Elephas maximus indicus: one gene and its partner. The protein of the gene in region 1 interacts with the protein of each later gene in a pairwise test. Links are inferred from orthologs where the notes say so. Each region holds a gene or a part of one and is shown on either strand. Other genes may lie near its edges.

Region 1 (10,232 bases):
TGGAATTTTTTAGTGTTATAAGTACTTGTCCTAATCAAAGACAGGCGTCTTCGTGTCTTATTTTCCCAAAGTGCTCAAAGCACAATATCATTATACAAAAGCCAATCTGAATGAGAGACACAGAAAGATTAAATTCCCTCCAGATCACAGAGATTTCTATGCCAAGAAATGCTATAACAAATGCTAAGCCTTCCTCTCTGGACACCTACTATTTTAAAATTATTATTATTATTCCTTATTTTGTTGGGATATAACTTTTAAGTGTATAGCTCAATGAATTTCTATATTTGTAAACACCTGAGTAACCACCACCCAGATCAAAGATAGAAAACATTTCCATCACCCTTGTTGGTGGAATAGGTGCCCTCATGCCCCTTCCTGGTCAATACGTATTCCTCCTCACAGCACGTACCACTATTCTGATTTTTACCTCCCTAGTTTAGTTTTGCCCATAGAATTCTTCAATGTTGCAACTCCAGGCTTGAATTTTTTTCTTCAGTCCTTTCAGCTTGAGAAATACCAAGTGTGTTCTTTCCATTTTGGTTTTCTAACTCCAGGTCTCTGCACATTTCGTTATATTACTTTACCACGTCTTCTTCAGCCACCCTTTGAAATCTTCTGCTCAGCTCTTTGACTTCATCATTTCTTACATTTGCTTTAGCTACTCCACATTCAAGAGCACTGACGGAATACCAAGTGTGAGATGTTTAAACAAATGGATGCAATGCTGGAAGCACTCACTCGTCTACATCAAGGAATTTGGAAGACAGCTATCTGGCCAACCAACCAGAAGAGATTCATGTTCCATTCCAAAGAAAGGTGATTCAACAGAATGCAGAAATTTTCGAATATCATTAATATCACATGCAAGTAAAATTTTGATGAAGATAATTCAAAAATGGCTGCAGCCGTACAACAGGGAACTGCCAGAAATTCAAGCCAGATTCAGAAGAGGAATGAGGGATATCATTGTTGATATCAGATGGATCTTGGCTGAAAGCAGAGAATATCAGATGTTTACCTGTGTTTTACTGATTACACAAAGGCATTTGACTGTGTAGATCTTAACAAATTACAGATAACATTACAGAGGATGGGAATTCCAAAACACTTAATTGTGCTCATGCAGAACCTGTACATAGACCAAGAAACAGTCTTGTTCAAACAGAATGAGTGGATACTGCATTGTTTAAAATCAGGGAAGGTGTGTGTCAGGGCTATATCCTTTCACTATACTTACTCAATCGATATGCTGAGCAAATAATCCGAGAAGCTGGACTATATGAAGAACATGGCAAGAGGATCAGACAAAGACTCATTAACAACCCCCGTTATGCAGATGACACAACCTTGTTTGCTGAAAGCAAAGAGAACTTGAAGAACTTACTGATGAAGATCAAAGACTACAGCCTTCAACACCTCAACATAAAGAAAACAAAAACACTCACAACTGGACCATTAAATAACTTCATAATAGATGGAGAAAATATTGAAGTTATCGACTTCATTCTACTTAGATCCACCATCAAAGCCCATGAGAACAGCAATCAAGAAATCAAACGACATATTGCATTGGGTAAATCCACTGCAAAAGACCTCTTTAAAGTTAAAAAGCAAAGATGTCACTTTGAGGACTAAGGTGTGCCCAACCCAAGCCATGATATTTTCAATTGTCTTATATGCAAAAGCTGGACAATGAATAAGGAAGACTGAAGAAGAATTGATGCTTTTGAATTATGGTGCTGGCAAAAAATATTAAATATACCATGGACCGCCAGAACAAACAAGTTTATCCTGGAAGAAGTACAGCCAGAATGCTCATTAGACGCGAGGATGGTGAGGCTTCGTTTCACGTACTTTGGACATGTTAGCAGGAGGGACTAGTCCCTGGAGAAAGACATCATGCTTTGTAGAGGATCAGCAAAAAAGAGGAAGACCCTCAACGAACGGGAGTGACACAGTGGCGGCAACAATTGGTTCAAACATAGCAACCACTGTGAGGGCAGTGCAGGACCAGGTAGTGTTTCATTCTGTTGTACACAGGGTCGATGTATCAGAACTGACTCAACAGCACCTAATGAAAAGTTTAATTTTTGCCTATCCTTACCTTCACAAAAAAAATGAACTCATACAGTGTATACTCTTGTATCTGCCTTCTTTCAGTCAAAAATATATTTTTGAGATCATCCAAGTTATTGTAGTATTTATTAGTAGTTCATTCTTTCTTTATTGTTATGTAGTATTCCTTTCACAAATGTGCCACAGTTTACTTATCCGTTCTTCAGTTGATACCTGGGTTGGTTCCAATGTTTAGCTATTATGAGTAAAGTTGCTGTGAACATTCTTACATATGTTTAGTGAACATATGCACTCATTTCTCTTGAGTATGTATCAACGAGTGGAACTGATGGGTCACAGTGTAGGCATAAGCTTATCTTTAGTATATGCTGCCAGTTTTCCTAAGTGGTTGAATCAATTTATACTCTCAGCAGCAATGAATGAGGTTATCTACATCCTTGCAAACTCTTGGGAATTGTCAGTCTTTTTAATTTTAACCTTCTAGCAGGTTTTTTTTTTTTTTTTAGCAGGTAGGCAATAGTTTCTAATTATGATTTTAATTTGCATTTCCCTGATAAGTGATGATGACACTTTTTTATATGCCTAATAGCAACATGGATATCATCTTTTGTGAAGTACCTGCTCAAATTTTTTGCCTATTTCTAAATTCAGTTCTTTTACTCTGCAGAATTACTTGATGTACTCTGAATATTAATCAGATATATATGTATTGTAAACATCTTCTCCCAATCTATGGAGTTCCTATTTACTTTCTTAATGATGTCTTTTAACAAAAAAAGTTCCTTATTTCAATGAAGTCCAATTTCTCTGTGTTTTCTTTTATGGTTAATGCCCTTTGTAGATGTCTATCCTTTTCTTATAAGAAAACTCTAAAAAAAATTTTTTTAAAAATTACCTTTGCTTATCTCTAAACTATATTTGGGGTGGCTCACAGTAAGATCAGATACAACAAAAGCCACAAACCCATTAAAAGTTAGCAATGACAGAAGTCCTAGGCTACAGGAAGCTACTGAACTTGAGTCTAAAATTTAGTTATGAGTTTCTTGACAAAAATGTTCTATTTTTTTCTTAAAGTCATCAAAAAAGATCAGCCTTAAACCTGAAGAGTTTCTTGAAGTTATAAAAAGGCGCCACTTCTTATGTAGTTACAAGTTCATAAAAGGGGCAAAGGATTAAGAATCATGGGTAAATTTGAAAGCTACTTATATTTAGTTTTGAAATGTACTTTCACGTGGATGAGGCTAATGTGAAATTTATAACATTCCAAAAACTGAAATTCAATGGTGGAGTAATAAATGATAATACCAATAAAGAAGTTAAAAAAAAAAAAAAAGACTAGCAACTGCTCCTTGTCAACCTTATTCTCATCCATGAGAATTTTAGGATTTATTGTAGGATAAGCCCGTTCAACAGCAATTGAGAATCCTTGGTACAAAAACAGATGCAAATTGTTCACTCTACTCATGGAAAAAATAATACTCAAAAGACAGTAGAAAGATGAAGACTTCACACTTTCTCAAAGACTGAAAAATGTATTTTGTATGTTCCACCTTTCTGTTTTGCCTTGTCTAAACAAGTGATACAAATCTGTATTCTGACAATATTCCACAAATACTAAAGGACCTTACCATAACAATTACTTCTACTTCACAACATCATAAACTATTATTATAGCCACGTGATAGCTAGGGAAACTGTGACATACAAAGAGGAAGCAACCTGCCGAAACTCTGAGTCACTGGCAAGCAAGAAGACATGTTCTACTCAACTCTCTTCATGTTCTCTGGCAACTATTTCTTTTCCTCTTGTCATTAGCAAAACATGCTGGCACCATGTATGTAAACATACCTACTAATTTTTTAACTTTTTACATTTCCTGAGTAGGAAATGTAAATGGAAAAAGATCCCTTAAACAGTGTTCCTTTCAAGAATGAGCACATATCCACACTTAACCCCTGCTAGGTAAGCTCCTCCCCTCATCCCAATTTCTTTAGCTAAAAATTTTCAAGCCCAACAAAATGAGACAGTTCCTCGCAGTCTTCCAATCCAGAATCAATCTTCTCCTTAAACAGATAATCTCTTTCCAACGTTCTGCTTTTCTAATGACAGCAGTTGCCCGGACCCACCCCACACAGTCCTCACAGGCTCCAGAAGCAGCTGCCACTTTTCTCTAAACACCAATCGCGGCCCCGGTTCCCAGCCCCCGGCCCCCGGCTTCCGCGCTCCCCGCCCCACCAACCTACCCCCACCCCCGCCCGCTGCCTCAGGCCCTCCCCCCGCAGCGTCGGCAGCTCTTGCTCACCTCGGCCCCTGACAGGAAGGGGTGCGAGGGCCCTGTGATCGTCAGGTAATTGTCATTTCCTCCGGGAAACTGGAAACCAAAAGAAAGCCGCGGGGATAAGTTAGCGGGAGCAGGGAGGAGCTTGGAGCGACGTATTCTGACCCCGACCTTCTGACAACACTCCCCAAACCCGGCTGTCTCTCTCCTCCCCCGTCAGCCGCCTCTCCGCCCGGCCTCTCGCCTCTGCTTCAACCCCGTCGGCCGCGTTCTCTCGCCAGCCTTCTTAGCGCTCGGGTTCCTACCTCCATCTTCACACAACAGCTACCACCGCCTTACTCCCCTCATTGCTCCCACCGCCCCTACTGGACTCGGAACTTACGTCACTTCCGTAAGGATGTGCGTCACTCTTTGCGGCAGCCAGTCAGGCCTAGCAAGGCCGAGCGTACGGAGAGGCTAACGCTCGCCCCCTGGAGCTAGGTGGAGTAATGGCATGTGGAGGTGCTAGAGGCGTCTTTGGAGGCGGCGTTGGAGTGTTTCCGCCGCTCCGGATCGAGAGAGGTTTTCTGAAGAGAACAGGAATCAGGCCACTTTTGGAAAACTGAAAGTGATTTAATATGGCTGGAGCATGGAGTTCGAAGCGTGGCAAGAAGTAAAGCTAGAGAAAAAATTAGGTACCAAGTTTTAAAACACCGGAAGGCCCGTTGCTGTCGAGTCCATTCCGACTCAGCGACCCTATAGGACAGAGTAGGACTGCCCATAGCGTTTCAAGGAGCGGGATCGTGGATTCGAACTGCCGACCTTTATGCTTAGCACTTAACCACTCTGCCAGCAAGGCTCACCTGAAGGAAATGTTGAGCAAATGACAAGTTTTAAAACCGAGAAGTGTAGTGATCAATCAAGTTTTCCCCAGAGTCCGACAGAGGACATGTTTCTTTCAGAATTCTGTTCTCTGTACCAAGAGAATACGACAGCTGGATAGAAAATATGACAGTTGGATAGAAAATCTATACAAATTGTAGAGTCTTTGAGTGCATAACTAGAGGAAACTGCATAAAGGGAGACAAAAGCTTTATTTTCAATTCTAACCTGTTGAAATTCTATTCCTACTCTAGGGGGAAAAAAGATTTAGCAACTTTTTTTCAGTAGCTACCACTCGATACTTCATGAAGCAATCTAGAATAGTACGAAGTGATTCTTGTATCTTCCTTAACTGCAGCACCTTAGAGTTGAGATATTTTGGATATCTCTGCGTACCTATGTGAGACACTGAACAAGTGTATATCAACCCTTTAGCATAAGCCGTATTAGTGCACTTTCTTGCAAATCAGAATTCCTCATGCTATGTGCAAAGTACTGTATGAAGATAGAAAGTAGGCCAAGTTGTCTGACTGTGGCCAAGAATTTTTCATGTAACTGACCTTCAGTTTTTAATTCTTGAGACAAGGTGAATGCCAGGTAAACCAAAAGACTTATTCAGACTGCCAATTTCCATACTCCTATTTTTTATTCAAGAGACTACTTTCCAATGAACTATGGGAGTTATTAAACATCCGAAGTATATCACTCTTGACAACCTAATTCTCAGATAGGCTTCTTTCTCAAACAAAAAGTTCTAGAGGTGCAAAATATATAGTTTCATGTAGGAGGACTAGAGAGTAACTCTAAAAACACATCAAGAAATATTTTCAAAATTTTTAGGTATTTTTTTGAAAAAGTTACAAAATTAACCAATGGAACAGAATTGAGAACCCAGATGTAAATCCATCCATCCATGGACAGCTGATCTTTAACAAAAGGCCAAAGTTCAGGAAATGGAGAAAAGATAGTCTCTTTAACAAATGGTATTGGCAAAACTGGATGTCCATTTGTAAAAAAAAAAAAAAAAAACATGAAGCAGGACCCATACCTCACACCACACAAAAACTCACTCAAAATGGATCAAAGAGTCAATTGGCAAAATAATTCTATTATGAAAACATTCTGCATCCCACTTTGAAATGTGGCTTCTGGGGTCTTAAAAGCTAACAAGCGGCCATCTAAGATGCATCAATTGGTCTCAACCCACCTGGAGTAAAGGAGAATGAAGAACACCAAGGTCACACGACAACTAAGAGCCCAAGAGACAGAAAGGGCCACATGAACCAGAGACCTACATTATCCTGAGACCGGAAGAACCAGTTGGTGCCCGGCCACAATCGATGACTGCCCTGACAGGGAGCACAATAGAGAACCCCTGAGGGAGCAGGAGATCAGTGGGATGCAGACCCCAAATTCTCATAAAAAGACCATACTTAATGGTCTGGATGTGACTAGAGGAATCCCGGCGGTCATGGTCCCCAAACCTTCTGTTGGCACAGAACGGGAACCATCCCCGAAGACAATTCATCAGACATGAAAGGGACTGGACAGTGGGTGGGAGAGAGATGCTGATGAAGAGTGAGCTAATTATATCAGGTGGACAGTTGGGACTGTGTTGGCATCTCCTGTCTGGAGGGGGGATCGGAGGATAGAGAGAGTTGGAGGCTGCCAAAGTTTTCACGAAAGGAGAGACTGGAAGGGCTGACTCATTAGGGGGAGAGCAAGTGGGAGTAAGGAGTAAGATGTATATTAACTTATATGTGACAGACTGACTTGATTTGTAAATGTTCACTTGAAGCTCAATAAAAGTTAATTTAAAAAAATGGATCAAAGATCTAAATATAAAACCTAAAACTATAAAGATCACGGAAGAAAAAATAGGGACAACACTAGGGGCCCTAATGTATGGCATTAATAGAATACCAAACATAACTAAAAATGCACAAGCAACAGAAGATGTGCTAGATAAATGGGACCTCCTAAAAATGAAACACTTATGCTTATCAAAAGACTTCTCCAAAAGAGTAAAAAGAGAACCTACAGATCAGGGAAAAAATTTTGGCTATGACATATCCGACAAGAGTCTAATCTCTAAAATTTATTTTAAAAAACTTCAACACCTTAACATCAAAAGGACAAACCAATTTAAAAAATGGGCAAAGGATATGAACAGATACTTCACCGAAGAACACATTCAGATGGCTAACAAACACATGAAGAAATGCTCTCCATCATTAGCCATTAGAGAGATGCAAATCAAAACTACAGCGAGATACCATCCCACCTCAACATTACCAGCACTAATCAAAAAAACAAAATAACAAATGTTGGAGAGGTTGTAGGAAGATTGGAAGTCTTATACACTGCTGGTGGGAATGTAAAATGGTACAACCACCATGCAAAATGATATGGCACTTCCTTAAAAAGCTAGAAATAAATAAAAAGTTCCAGATGTGCAAAAATATATATTGTTTCATGTAGGGGGACTACAGAGTGACTCCAAGAAGACATCAAAATTTTTAGATATTTTATGAAAAACTTAACAAAATTAACCAATGGAACAGAATTGACAACCCAGATTTAAATCCATCCACCTATGGACAGCTGATCTTTAACAAAAGGCCAAAGTTCATTAAACGGAGAAAAGATAGCCTCTTTAACAAATGGTGCTGGCAAAACTGTATGTCCATTTGTAAAAAAAAAAATTAAACAGGACCCATACATCACACCACAGAAAAACTGACCGGCAATCCCACTCTTAGGTATACACCCTAAAGAAATAACAGTCGTGACACAAATAGACATATGCACGCTTATATTCATTACAATATTATTCATAGTAGCAAAACGATGGAAACAACCTAAGTGCCCATCAACAGATGAATGAATTAACAAACTGTGGTACATCCATGCAGTAGAATACTATGCAACAATAAAGAATAATGACAAATCTGTGAAACATCTCACAACATAAATGAATTTGGAGGACATTATGCTGAGTGAGGCAACCCTGCTGGTGTAGTGGTTAAGAGCTACGGCTATTGGGCAAGGGGTCGGCAGTTCGAATCCACCAGGCAGCCTTGGAAACCCTGTGGGGCGGTCCTACTCTGTCCTATAGGGTCGCTGTCAGTCGGAATCCACCCAATGGCAAAAGGTTTGTTTTTTGGTTTTTATGCTCAGTGAAATAAGTCAATCACAAAAGGACAAATGTTGTATGAGATCACTATTATAAAGAAACAAGAAAGGTTTACACACGGGAAAAAAAATTCTCTGGTGGTTACCAGGAATGGGTGGGAAAGGGAGGGAAAATTACCAAAGAGATGGAAGACATGTCTTAATATTTGTGAAGGGAAAGGCAATACACAATATGGGGGAAGTCAGCAAAACATGACCAAGGCGTGGGAGGACACTGAGAGGAACAAAGGGCAACAACAGTGATTACTGTAGCATAGAAAATCCTGTTAAAATAGCATTAACAAACACTAATTTACAAATGGATACATAGGTAGATAGGTATGACAAGAGGTGTGGGAGGGCATAAGGGAACACATCCACCTGCAGAGATAGGTTTGGTGGTAGATATTTCTACATACATAACTGTAGATGCTGCTTATATAGACAGTAGAGCACACAAGGGCCACAGTCAGGGCAACTTCTTAGACATAACCAAACACCTCATGGGATGAAGCTCCTGGGTTCGAAGGCAAAGGATCATAGACTTAGGGGACATCTACACCAACTGGCACAACATAGTTAATAAAGACAAAGTTCTACATCCTACTTTGGTGCATAGCATCTGGGGTCTTAAAAGCTTGTGAGTGGCCATTTGACATACAGCTATTGGTCTCTTAATATCTGGAGCAAAGGAGAGTGACTAAAACCGAAGACTCAAGGGAGTAATTAAGCCAAAGGACTAATAGACCACATTAACCACAGACTACACGACCCTGAGATCAGAAGAACTAGATGGTGCCCAGCTACCATTTACCTACCACTCTACTGGTATCACAACAGAGGGTTCCACACAGAGCAGGAGAAAAATTGTAGAACAAAAAATCAAACTCACAAAATAAGACTAGACTTACTGGTCTGTCAGACACTGGAAGAATCCCTGAGACTACGGCCCTAAGTTACCCTTCTGAAACAGAACTGAAGACAATCATGGAGACCACCTTTCAGCCAAACCATAGACAGGCCCAAAGAATAAACAATAACACTTGAGAGGAATGTGTTCCCTAGAACAATCTATTATATTAGATTAAAAAGGCAACGTTTGCCCAAAAGCAAAGATAAGGAGGCATGAAGCAACAGCAATTCAAGAAGAAAGGAAACAAGAACCTAGGAGGGAAATGGGGAGAGTGCTGACACATTATGGAGAATTAAATCAATGTCACGCAACACTTGACATTGCACAATAAAAAATTGAAAAAAAAAATTACAAAATTAAATACTGCCTAATCAAATTTCGTTCTGTTGTACATAGGGACCCTATGAACCGACTCAACAGCACCTAACAACAATAACATTGATAGAAACTTATTCACCTTTACTTGACGTTTTAATTTATCTTATTCCCATGTCTGCTTTTTAGTTGCAATCCCGAGGTCATTATCACTTAGAAACCGCCCCCCCCATTTTTTTTAAAGAAAAATGAAGAAACTTCAAGGAACACAAATTATTTGGAGCAAACAGGCAACACTGCCGAGCTTATTAGCACTGAGTGCACATTAAGGATGAGCACCTCACTCAACACGGCTGTTGTTAACGAGAACCACATTCTTTCTCTTGGTCTTCACTGACAGGTGTAGAGTTTGGGGTCCTATGGACAGCACTGATGAAAAACAAACCAAACTGCAAATCTGGGAAACGGTGAGAGAGGACAAAGTAATTGAGGCCCTCACTAAGATCTGAACAGAACAGTGAAGGATGAGGCAGGGGAAAGGGCCGGGCTATGAGGGCGGGGCTCATTGTGGAGCTGAGAGCGGCAAAGTGCAAAATCAAGGAGATAGAGAAC
Region 2 (10,523 bases), on another chromosome or scaffold:
ACTCCATACCAGGTCCAAATGCACACAGCAGGGTCAGGGCAGAGAGCCGACGTACCCCTTACGAAGAGGGCCTCAGGCCACCAGCCTGGCCACTGGCACCACCCCGTGAGGACCCACCTCTGCTTGCTGGAAAGCTCCTCGGCCTTGGGTCGCCAGCCCCAGGGCACCAGCTGCAGGTTGTCCAGCCGGTTGTCCACAGTCACAGCATTGAGATGCACCACCTGGAAGCCGGGGGCAACACCACCCCTGTGCCGCTCCCTAGGGACAGAAATGCTCAAGAGTGGCCCACCAGACCCTCACAAACATGGGTTTTTACGTGCACGTGATAAAAATACATATAAAACACTTGCGGTTTTAACATTTTTACATGTATAATTCGGTGACATCGTTATCTTTGTCGTGTTGTGTTGCCATCATCACCATGTTCCAGATTTCCCATCAGTGATGTTATCAAGTCCACTGTGCCGTGTGGCCATCACCACCAAGTTCCAAGTTTTCCATCACTCTTAACAAAAACCCAGTGCCCTCTAAGCAGTGACCACCACCCCCCCGCTCCTCCCCCTTCTCTTGCCACTAATAAGTTTTACTTTATGTTGGTCTATTCTAGACGTTTCATGTAAAAGATGGTATAACATTTATGCTTTTGTGACTAACTTTTCTCGTCACGATATTTTCAAGGTTCTACTGTGTCGTAGTATATATCTCTTTATAACCAATAACATTGCATCCTGTTAGTATACCTCACAAATATTTTTGGTTAAATGTGAAGGCACAACCAGAAAGAAAAACAAGCCACAGGATCTGAAATGGCCCTTAAAATCCCAATGGGCAAGTTCCGGGGCAGGACTGGGCCAGAGGAAGCCCAGTATGGGAGTTAGAAACAGACAGAACAGAGTCCCTACCCTTGGCAATTCAGTTCCTGGACTGAAAAACCAAACAAGGAGGGACCCCCCAAGGGATCTTGCTGCACACACCCAGGTGAGACAGCCCCCACCCCATGCCTGCCCCGTCAGAGCCCAGGGCAGCAAGTTCCCTGGCAACTGGGAGACTTTCAAGATAGGTACTAAGTAACATAAGATGAAAATTAGTCACTCCTTCAGGTTAGTGGAAAGGACGCTCAGAGGTGGCGAGGCAGATCCAGCCCAAGGGAACCATCTGCTCACCACCTCTGTGCCCCGTGCCCACAAAGCCCAAGGCGGGGGATAAGGGAAGCCCACTGTACTTGCGGCCGCCGCCACGGCCACTGCTGTAAATACCCACCACAGCAGCTCATGCAGCAGCCGTCCAGAGCCCCGTCCTCGATTCTTGTCAAAGGCATAAGCGAATATCTTAGCACCATTTCCATCTGCATCTACTTCCATCCGAGCCTAAGAAGGAACAAGGGAAGGTCAGTTAACACATTTCTGATTCTCACCAACATTTCAAACTCTTCCTAGAAACAAAGTGAAACAGACAAGCCGGAGGAACAAATGCCAGCACCAGCCTAGGTCCAAGTGCCTGTTGGGACGTGCCATCGTGTCCTGAGAGGTTTCCCAACCAGGAGCACAGGCACCACACCACATCCTGACAATTGTGCTCTCTCCCCTCTGGCAAATGCTCACAATTGTGCTCTCTCCGCTCTGGCAAATACTCACAATTGTGCTCTCTCCGCTCTGGCAAATGCTCACAACAAAGCACTGTGGACAGAAGTGTGATCAGAGCTGTCCCTACCCTTAGAAAAGCCCCCAGCCAGGGGGCAAAATAAGCCCTTGAACAAACAACCACAGTGAGAAGGGTTAGGGACCCAGAAGAAAACGCAGAGCAGCAACAAACTCCTAGGAGTTTTCCAAGAAAAGGGGATATTAGATGAAGATCAGAGGCATGGACAAGAGTCCAACGGGTAGAAGACGATGAGAAAGAGGCGAGAAGGCCACACCTAGGCCCAGGGCAGCAGGGACGTGGAGCGATCGGAGGGGGGAGGCCTTCCGGCTGATGGGGGTAGGCAGGACCAAGGCGGGAGACCAGCAAGCGTTTCTAAGGATTAACAGCTTCAACAGGTTTGACAAAGACATTTAGTCAAAGTCGACAGAATCTGGTCTGTTTTTGGGGAACAGAGCTGGCAGGCAGAATGGATGCAGGGAAAGGTCAGTGTTTCTGGCCAGCGGGAGCTGCAGGGAGAGTCCACTGTGAACCCCAGCAGCAGTGACCGTCAGACTACTGTGACACCGTGGTTTGGATGTGGTGGCCCCAAGTGGTCCACAGCCAGCACCAGCTACTCAGGACAAGATTCCACGCTTACAGCGCAGGACGACACGTTCTCAAGACCACCATCAGCCCCAACCTGGCCCGCAGAGAACGCCATCCTTACCTCGAAGGAGTAGCTCTCCACCAGGGGGATATCTTGTTCATCGATCAGCGTGTACTTGGTCTGGAAATTAACAAATGTGTAACATTTTTATATTTGGGACGAACTAATGGCACCCTGAAATTATAAACTGTAATAGGCAGCCGTGAGGTATGCTAGCTGAGAAGTCAGGACAGGTCAGCAAGCGAGCCTCTCAGTCCACTCTCGGTGGATGCATTTCCACTTTGGCATCAGAGAGACAAGTAACAAGGTTTGAACCTCCATCCACATAAGACTCACTGTAAGAACAACACTGAGCCAGACCACCTGCCAAAGTCTCTGTAACAGCTCCTTAAATCTAGTTACTAAGGTAGAAAGATCGGCCTTGATTGAGAAAGAACACCCAGGAGGCTCCAATTAGCATTTATTAAGTTGAGTGAAGTTTACAGCTGCTCCCTGATTCATTCTCTTTAGCTTTTTCTGCCTTAAGTGTTCCAGACAAAAATCTTAAGTGATGGCATTAATGCATCCAACTACTATGTCAGAAAGAGTCTCCGGGCAACTGGGACGGAGCAGCCCTTCCCTGGTCAGAAAGCGCATCCCAAGGGCCTTTGCCCGCGCTCCTGAGGAAGGACAGGAACTGCCCCTAATCTTCTCTCACTGCTGGTACCGGCGGAGACAATTCCCAGCCCACTGGACTTCACCTTCGTCTGCCTCCGCTCCTGTCTCCCACCACAAGCCTCAGCCACTGGGAGCAGGCACCAGGTTCCCCTTGGGGAGCGGTGGGTGCAGCGGGACAGCCAGCCCCTGGAAACAGCCAAGCTCACGGGTGCCCGAGGCCCCGGCCTCAAACGCTGGAGGGCGAGGACCAGAAAGAGGAGTGAGTGGACCCTCAGCCTCGCCGCACAGGACCCTGCCCTGATGGGCCCACTGGTGGCCACCCTCGGCCAGCCCCTGGCGGCCTCACCGCGCCGGCGCTCCACTAGGGCTGGCTGCGCTCTCTGCCACCGGCCCCCGCGGGGCCGCCTCAACAGACAGAGCCAGGAGCACCGGACAGGTCTGCGCGCACGCGGGGCGCCGCCAGCGCACCCCGACACCGGCTAGGCCCCGGCCCCTAAGCACCCCTCGGAGGTGCCGCAGGTGAGCGCGGCCGGGCGCGGGAGCCCCCCGGGCGGTACAGGAGCGCGGCCTCCGTCCCGGGGCCTCCAACCCGAGGCGGGAGCGGCCCGCCGCGCACTTAGCCGGCCCGGGCCCGCAGGAGGGGTGCGCTCCGGGCCGCGGCCGGCCTGTGCAGGGAGGCGCGCCGCGGGGCCCGGCCCACCCGCCGCCGCAACCGCCCGCCGCCGCAACCGCCCGCCGCGCCCGCCCGGCCCGCGCCGCTCACCTTGCCGGCCACCCGGCCGAGCCGCACGATGCCCAGCTTGAAGTCGGTCATGGCCGGGCCTGCGCGCTCGCCGGCGCGCCGCTCCCCCGGGAGGCGCCGGGTTGAGGCCGGGCGGCGAGGCCGCGGCGGACCGGGCGGGTCCAGGCGGCCCGGGCGGACAGGCTGGGCCGGGCTCGGGCCGCGCCGCCTCGCGCCCGCCGGACCTGCCACGCGCCGCCGCCGCCGCCGCCACCGCCGCGCGCACCGCCGCGAGTGGAGCAGCAGAGGGCGGGGCGCGGCCGCGAACACACCCCCGGCCCGCGCCCGCCAGCCAATCGCGAGCCGCGCACCGCGCCGGCCGGCGCGCGCCGACGCTCAGCGACCAATGGGAGGACAGCGGGCGCGCAGGCGCAATGCGGAGCCAAGCAAGCGCGGGGGAGGGGCGGGGCGAAGGGGCGGTGCTTGCGCGGCGGGCGTGCGCCTACGTCAGTTTCGCGGGAAGCTTTGTGCTCCGCGGAGCCTGGCGGTCCGTCCCCACCCCCCGGTCCGGCCCGTGGCCTCTCAGTCCCGGCCCCCGGCCCCCGCCCCTCGTCCGGCCCGTGGCCTTTCGGTCCCGCCCCCGCCCCCCGTCCCCCGTCCCCCGTCCCAGGCCCGTGGCCTCTCTGTCGAGGCTTCCACCCCCCCCGTGCCGCCTGTGGCCTCTCGGTCCCGGCCCCACCCCCCGCCCCAGGCCCGTGGCCTCTCGGTCCCTGCCCCCGCCCCCCCCGTGCCACCCGTGGCCTCTCGGTCCCGGCCCCCACGACCCCCGTTGCCGCCCGTGGCCTCTCGGTCCCGCCCCCGCCCCCTGTCCCAGGCCCGTGGCCTCTCGGTCCCTGCCCCCACTCCCCCGGTGCCGCCCGTGGCCTCTCGGTCCCTGCCCTCGCCCCCCCCGTGCCGCCCGTGGCCTCTCGGTCCCTGCCCCCACTCCCCCGGTGCCGCCCGTGGCCTCTCGGTCCCTGCCCTCGCCCCCCCCGTGCCGCCCGTGGCCTCTCGGTCCCTGCCCCCACTCCCCCGGTGCCGCCCGTGTCCTCTCGGTCCCTGCCCCCACTCCCGGTGCCGCCCGTGTCCTCTCGGTCCCTGCCCCCACTCCCCCGGTGCCGCCCGTGGCCTCTCGGTCCCTGCCCCCACTCCCGGTGCCGCCCGTGTCCTCTCGGTCCCTGCCCCCACTCCCGGTGCCGCCCGTGTCCTCTCGGTCCCTGCCCCCACTCCCCCGGTGCCGCCCGTGGCCTCTCGGTCCCTGCCCCCACTCCCCCGGTGCCGCCCGTGGCCTCTCGGTCCCTGCCCCCACTCCCGGTGCCGCCCGTGTCCTCTCGGTCCCTGCCCCCACTCCCCCGGTGCCGCCCGTGGCCTCTCGGTCCCTGCCCTCGCCCCCCCCGTGCCGCCCGTGGCCTCTCGGTCCCTGCCCCCATTCCCCGGTGCCGCCCGTGGCCTCTCGGTCCCTGCCCTCGCCCCCCCCGTGCCGCCCGTGGCCTCTCGGTCCCTGCCCCCACTCCCCCGGTGCCGCCCGTGGCCTCTCGGTCCCTGCCCTCGCCCCCCCCCGTGCCGCCCGTGGCCTCTCGGTCCCTGCCCCCACTCCCCCGGTGCCGCCCGTGGCCTCTCGGTCCGTGCCCTCGCCCCCCCCCGTGCCGCCTGTGGCCTCTCGGTCCCGGCCCCCACGACCCCCGTAGCCTCCCGTGGCCTCTCGGTCCCGCCCCCGCCCCCTGTCCCAGGCCCGTGGCCTCTCGGTCCCTGCCCCCACTCCCCCGGTGCCGCCCGTGGCCTCTCGGTCCCTGCCCTCGCCCCCCCCGTGCCGCCCGTGGCCTCTCGGTCCCTGCCCCCACTCCCCCGGTGCCGCCCGTGGCCTCTCGGTCCCTGCCCTCGCCCCCCCCGTGCCGCCCGTGGCCTCTCGGTCCCTGCCCCCACTCCCCCGGTGCCGCCCGTGGCCTCTCGGTCCCTGCCCCCACTCCCGGTGCCGCCCGTGTCCTCTCGGTCCCTGCCCCCACTCCCCCGGTGCCGCCCGTGGCCTCTCGGTCCCTGCCTTCGCCCCCCCCGTGCCGCCCGTGGCCTCTCGGTCCCTGCCCCCACTCCCCCGGTGCCGCCCGTGGCCTCTCGGTCCCTGCCCCCACTCCCGGTGCCGCCCGTGTCCTCTCGGTCCCTGCCCCCACTCCCCCGGTGCCGCCCGTGGCCTCTCGGTCCCTGCCCTCGCCCCCCCCGTGCCGCCTGTGGCCTCTCGGTCCCTGCCCCCACTCCCGGTGCCGCCCGTGTCCTCTCGGTCCCTGCCCCCACTCCCCCGGTGCCGCCCGTGGCCTCTCGGTCCCTGCCCTCGCCCCCCCCGTGCCGCCCGTGGCCTCTCGGTCCCTGCCCCCACTCCCCCGGTGCCGCCCGTGGCCTCTCGGTCCCTGCCCCCACTCCCGGTGCCGCCCGTGTCCTCTCGGTCCCTGCCCCCACTCCCCCGGTGCCGCCCGTGGCCTCTCGGTCCCTGCCCTCGCCCCCCCCGTGCCGCCCGTGGCCTCTCGGTCCCTGCCCCCACTCCCCCGGTGCCGCCCGTGGCCTCTCGGTCCCTGCCCCCACTCCCGGTGCCGCCCGTGTCCTCTCGGTCCCTGCCCCCACTCCCCCGGTGCCGCCCGTGGCCTCTCGGTCCCTGCCCTCGCCCCCCCCGTGCCGCCCGTGGCCTCTCGGTCCCTGCCCCCACTCCCGGTGCCGCCCGTGTCCTCTCGGTCCCTGCCCCCACTCCCCCGGTGCCGCCCGTGGCCTCTCGGTCCCTGCCCTCGCCCCCCCCGTGCCGCTCGTGGCCTCTCGGTCCCTGCCCCCACTCCCCCGGTGCCGCCCGTGGCCTCTCGGTCCCTGCCCCCACTCCCCCGGTGCCACCCGTGGCCTCTCGGTCCCTGCCCTCGCCCCCCCCGTGCCGCCCGTGGCCTCTCGGTCCCTGCCCCCACTCCCGGTGCCGCCCGTGTCCTCTCGGTCCCGCCCCCGCCCCCCGCCCCCCGCCCCCCGTCCCCCGTCCCAGGCCCGTGGCCTCTCTGTCGAGGCTTCCACCCCCCCCCGTGCCGCCCGTGGCCTCTCGGTCCCGCCCCCGCCCCCTGTCCCAGGCCCGTGGCCTCTCGGTCCCTGCCCTCGCCCCCCCCGTGCCGCCCGTGGCCTCTCGGTCCCGCCCCCGCCCCCTGTCCCAGGCCCGTGGCCTCTCGGTCCCTGCCCCCATTCCCCACGTGCCTCCCGTGGCCTCTCGGTCCCTGCCCCCATTCCCCCGGTGCCGCCCGTGGCCTCTCGGTCCCTGCCCTCGCTCCCCCACGTGCCTCCCGTGGCCTCTCGGTCCCTGCCCTCGCCCCCTCGCCCCGTGGCGCCCGTGGCTTTTCGGTCCGGCCCCGCCCCGCTGTCCGCCTCGCCCCTTCCCCGACCACAGGCCCTTGATTCTGACGCCCGGCCGGTCCCCTCCTCCCCGCCCGTGTCTCCCCGGCCCACCGACCCTAGGCCGAGGCCAACCCTTCCTCATGGCAACCCTGGTCCTCAAGCAACAGTGGCTCCGGGCATTCCAAGAGACCCTGCGGTCTGGGTCTCCGGGTTTGCCGGGCCCACGGGGCTCTCAGAGGTGGGCCGCAGTCTTTGTTACCCGTTCTTCCACCAAGTCCAGAAGGGAGAGGGGTAAAGAGCAGAGCCTGCTGCTGCTGCTGCTGCTGCTGCTGCAGGGACGGCGAGCCCCAAGGCCAGGCCCGGCTAGGGGTGTGAGTGGGCCCGGGTCCCGGAGCTCCAGGGGGATCTTGAGCAGGGCAGGATCAGGCTACCCTCGGGCCGATGGCTAGGGTAGTCTTTGGATGTGGGGAGGACTGGAGCGAGGGGGCCACGCTCCAGGATCTTGGCCAGATGCTGGTGCTGGGGACAGGTCCTGCAAAGACTGCTTAAGCCCCCTGCCCACCTGAGGGGGGTTGCTTGCTGGCTGGGGCAGTGAGTGTCTTCCTGTCCTTCAGGACACTTGCACGCTCCACTTCTCATGGTCTTGGTAGATACCCAGTTAGAGTAGTGGGGCAGGGTGCCACCAGGGCCTGGGGCTTCTCCATGCAGCCCACCTTCAAGCCACACCAGCCTTTTGTGAGAGCCAGCCTTCCTCTGTGAGCTGGGGCAGGAAGGGTCCTAGGCCCAAGTCTTTCCCGAAACAGGAACTTCAGAGAATTCCATTCTGGCCTCTTAGGTCTCTGGGAAGAAGGGCCCACCAGGGAGGGGCCAAGGGCCTGGTGGGCATCTGTCAGGGTTGGGGGCGAGGCCTAGACCCACCTCTGCTTGGGGCATATCCCTGCCTTCCTGGGGGAGAGGAAAGGCTGTTGGTCCTGGTTGTGTGGAGATGAGGCATCTGGGTTCAAGGCTGGTCCTTACTCATCGGGACACCCTGTCCTACCAACCTCCCAGAATCCTGAAGGTGCATGAATTCTGAGAAAGTGCCCTGGGATGAAGCACCTCAAGCACGAGAGCTGGGTGCGGCTCTTGGAGGACAGCCAAGGGACACTGGTACCTTGGTTTAGGCTTGACTTGAAACAGGGATTTTAGTGCAAGTTGTTTGTTTGGGAGGAGGTCCCAGAAAGCACTGGAAGGGGAGTGGGAACGGGAAGCAGGAAAGAGAAGAACAGGAACCCGTAAAAGGTGTTGCTAAAGCCAGCGGAGCTCTTCCCGGTACACTCTGGAAGTCAGTATGGGACACAGAGGGGCACCTACTCCCCTGCTCTGCTGGGTCCTTGGTTGGGGCTGGTCCTGGGGAAGGTCTGTCCCTGTCATATCTAGCCTGCTTGGCAGAGCTGGCTCCCACAGCCACAGCTGAAGGGAGAGAACTTTCAGGTGATGGAGATGAAAATGGCAGGTGTAAGGTGCTGTGAGCAGGGCCCAGATGGTGGAGGGCATGTGCCTGGACTGCTCTGGGCAAGTCACTTGGTCTCTGGGTCTCAATGCAGCCCCCAAGTATAAAGAACATGCCAATGCATGGCTTCAGTGTGTGTGCGGGTGAAATGAGACAGCACCCATTCCTCTGTCAGGTACCCATTAAAAGGAAAACTCTCCCCTACACCCCCCTCGAGCCACTGTCTCCTGTGCCTTTTCTCCTAGCATATTCATTTTCTATGCCTTTTTAACAATCTACCACAAATGAAGCGTATTAAATCCATGATCTCACCATTCCGTGGGTCCAAAGTGGGTTTCTCTACTGCAGGTGCTGGCGGTCTGGGCCGCCACTGGGGAGGCTCTGGAACAGGCTGCTCCCAGGATCACTCAGGTGGCCAGCAAATCGGCCCTTCTCAGCCTCTGGAGGCCACCTGCATTTCCCTCATCTTCAAAGCCAGCAATGGCAGGAGGAGCCTTTCTCAGCTTCAGATTCTCCTTCCTTCAGCTGGAGAAAGGTCTCTGCTTTTAAGAGCTCGTGTGAGTCCATTGTCCCTGATCAATAACCCAGGATAACCCCCATTGTAAGGTCACTGATCGGTGACCTTAATTACATCTGCCATGAAACACCAAGTTCCTGCAGTGAGGGTGCTATACCTTTGGGGGCCACTCTGCCGACCACACCATCTCTGGGTCATCTGCTCCACATGATGGCCCTCGTCAAGGCCCAAGGCCCAAGGACCTTTGTCATCACTGGGCACCCACTCTGTTATCCAGGTCCTGGAGGAGGCATGGGGGACTTAAACCAGCTCACACACCAGTGAGAGAGACAGAAATACACCTCTAGTGAAAGACACAGCATGTTAGGAAGGAAAGGAAGGAGCTCAGATAAAGAAGTGGGGGTGCCAGTGTGAAGCCCTGGGCAGAGCCTCACTGGGAAAACTGCTTTTGAGCAAACAGTGGGAGGAGTGGATGAGCTACACGGATGGTTAGGGTAGGAACATTCCTAGCACGGGGAACAGCCAGTGTGAAGGCCCTGAGCTGGGGACATGTGAGTGAGGCAGGTTTGAGGGACTGGAGTGGACAGCGGAGAGACAGCAGGGGTAAGGTCAAAGGGCAAGGGGGGAGGCTATGAAGGCTGTTGAAGGACTTTGACCTAAGACAGAAGTGAGGTCACCGGGGGGTCTGAGCAGTGGGGTCACATTTCCACAGGATCACGCTGGCGATCCAGAGTTCACCAGAGAGGCATCACACAGTGATAACACAGGGAGGGCAAGGAGTCTGAGGGGAGTCGGTGTGCTGCGGGGAGCTTGGGGAAGTTCTCTTCTGATTGCTTCGATATCTCAAGCCCAAAACAAGGTCATCAGTGAACATGAGGATGAGAGAGCAAGCATTCGCAGCAGAGAAGACAGGACTGCCTTGGGCAGGGTACCTGGGCGATCTAGGGAAGGATGGCGATGTGCAAGGAGGCCAGCAAGTGGACTGTGCATTTTCTTCTAGCCTCTTGAGGCCGCTGAGGAGAAAGCAGGGAAGTAGGAGTTGGATTGCAGTTGTGCCAGGCACATGTGATAAAGCGAGGGGTGCTGGTGGCCCATGGGGTCTGAACTGAATGAGAAAAGACATGAAGACATGAGGGGCAGCATCCATGGGGTCAAAGGATTGTGAAGGTGGGGCACCGGAGGTAGGAAGTGGAAAGACGAGGGCATGGTCAGAGAGCAGCTGCATGGACTTGAGTTTGTGGGAGGTGGAGTTGTCTGCTGGTGTGCAACAAGCCACCCCAAACGTTGGCAGCTTAAAACAACATCAGTTTTATTATTCCTCCTGATTCTGTAGACCACCTGGAGGATCTTCTGTTCTACATGGGGTTACTGGGTCAGTCATCCAGTTGCATTCAGCCGGGAATTCACCTGAAGCACCTCAGTTTTCTTCTGAGTGGTTGTTGTCTAGGGCTTCCGCACAGAG

What was found. The genes of interacting proteins can lie anywhere in the genome.
Region 2: the proteins of TOX4 (region 1) and ZMYND19 interact in binary tests that used the Homo sapiens proteins (3 or more experiments, as listed by UniProt). The two-hybrid records come from large-scale screens. The link is inferred for Elephas maximus indicus from reciprocal best matches to the Homo sapiens genes TOX4 and ZMYND19.

Annotation. Positions count from the first base shown.
Region 1 is NC_064828.1:31,830,441-31,840,672, reverse strand, and holds the start of TOX4 (TOX high mobility group box family member 4), read right to left. Parts: upstream 4,734-10,232; 5' UTR 4,669-4,733; coding exon 4,663-4,668; intron 4,451-4,662; coding exon 4,382-4,450; intron 1-4,381. UniProt on the Homo sapiens protein: Transcription factor that modulates cell fate reprogramming from the somatic state to the pluripotent and neuronal fate. In liver, controls the expression of hormone-regulated gluconeogenic genes such as G6PC1 and PCK1.
Region 2 is NC_064827.1:674,123-684,645, reverse strand, and holds the start of ZMYND19 (zinc finger MYND domain-containing protein 19), read right to left. Parts: upstream 3,759-10,523; coding exon 3,708-3,758; intron 2,408-3,707; coding exon 2,348-2,407; intron 1,368-2,347; coding exon 1,261-1,367; intron 259-1,260; coding exon 118-258; intron 1-117. Other genes in the region: basic proline-rich protein-like, read left to right, coding at 3,757-7,347. UniProt on the Homo sapiens protein: May be involved as a regulatory molecule in GPR24/MCH-R1 signaling.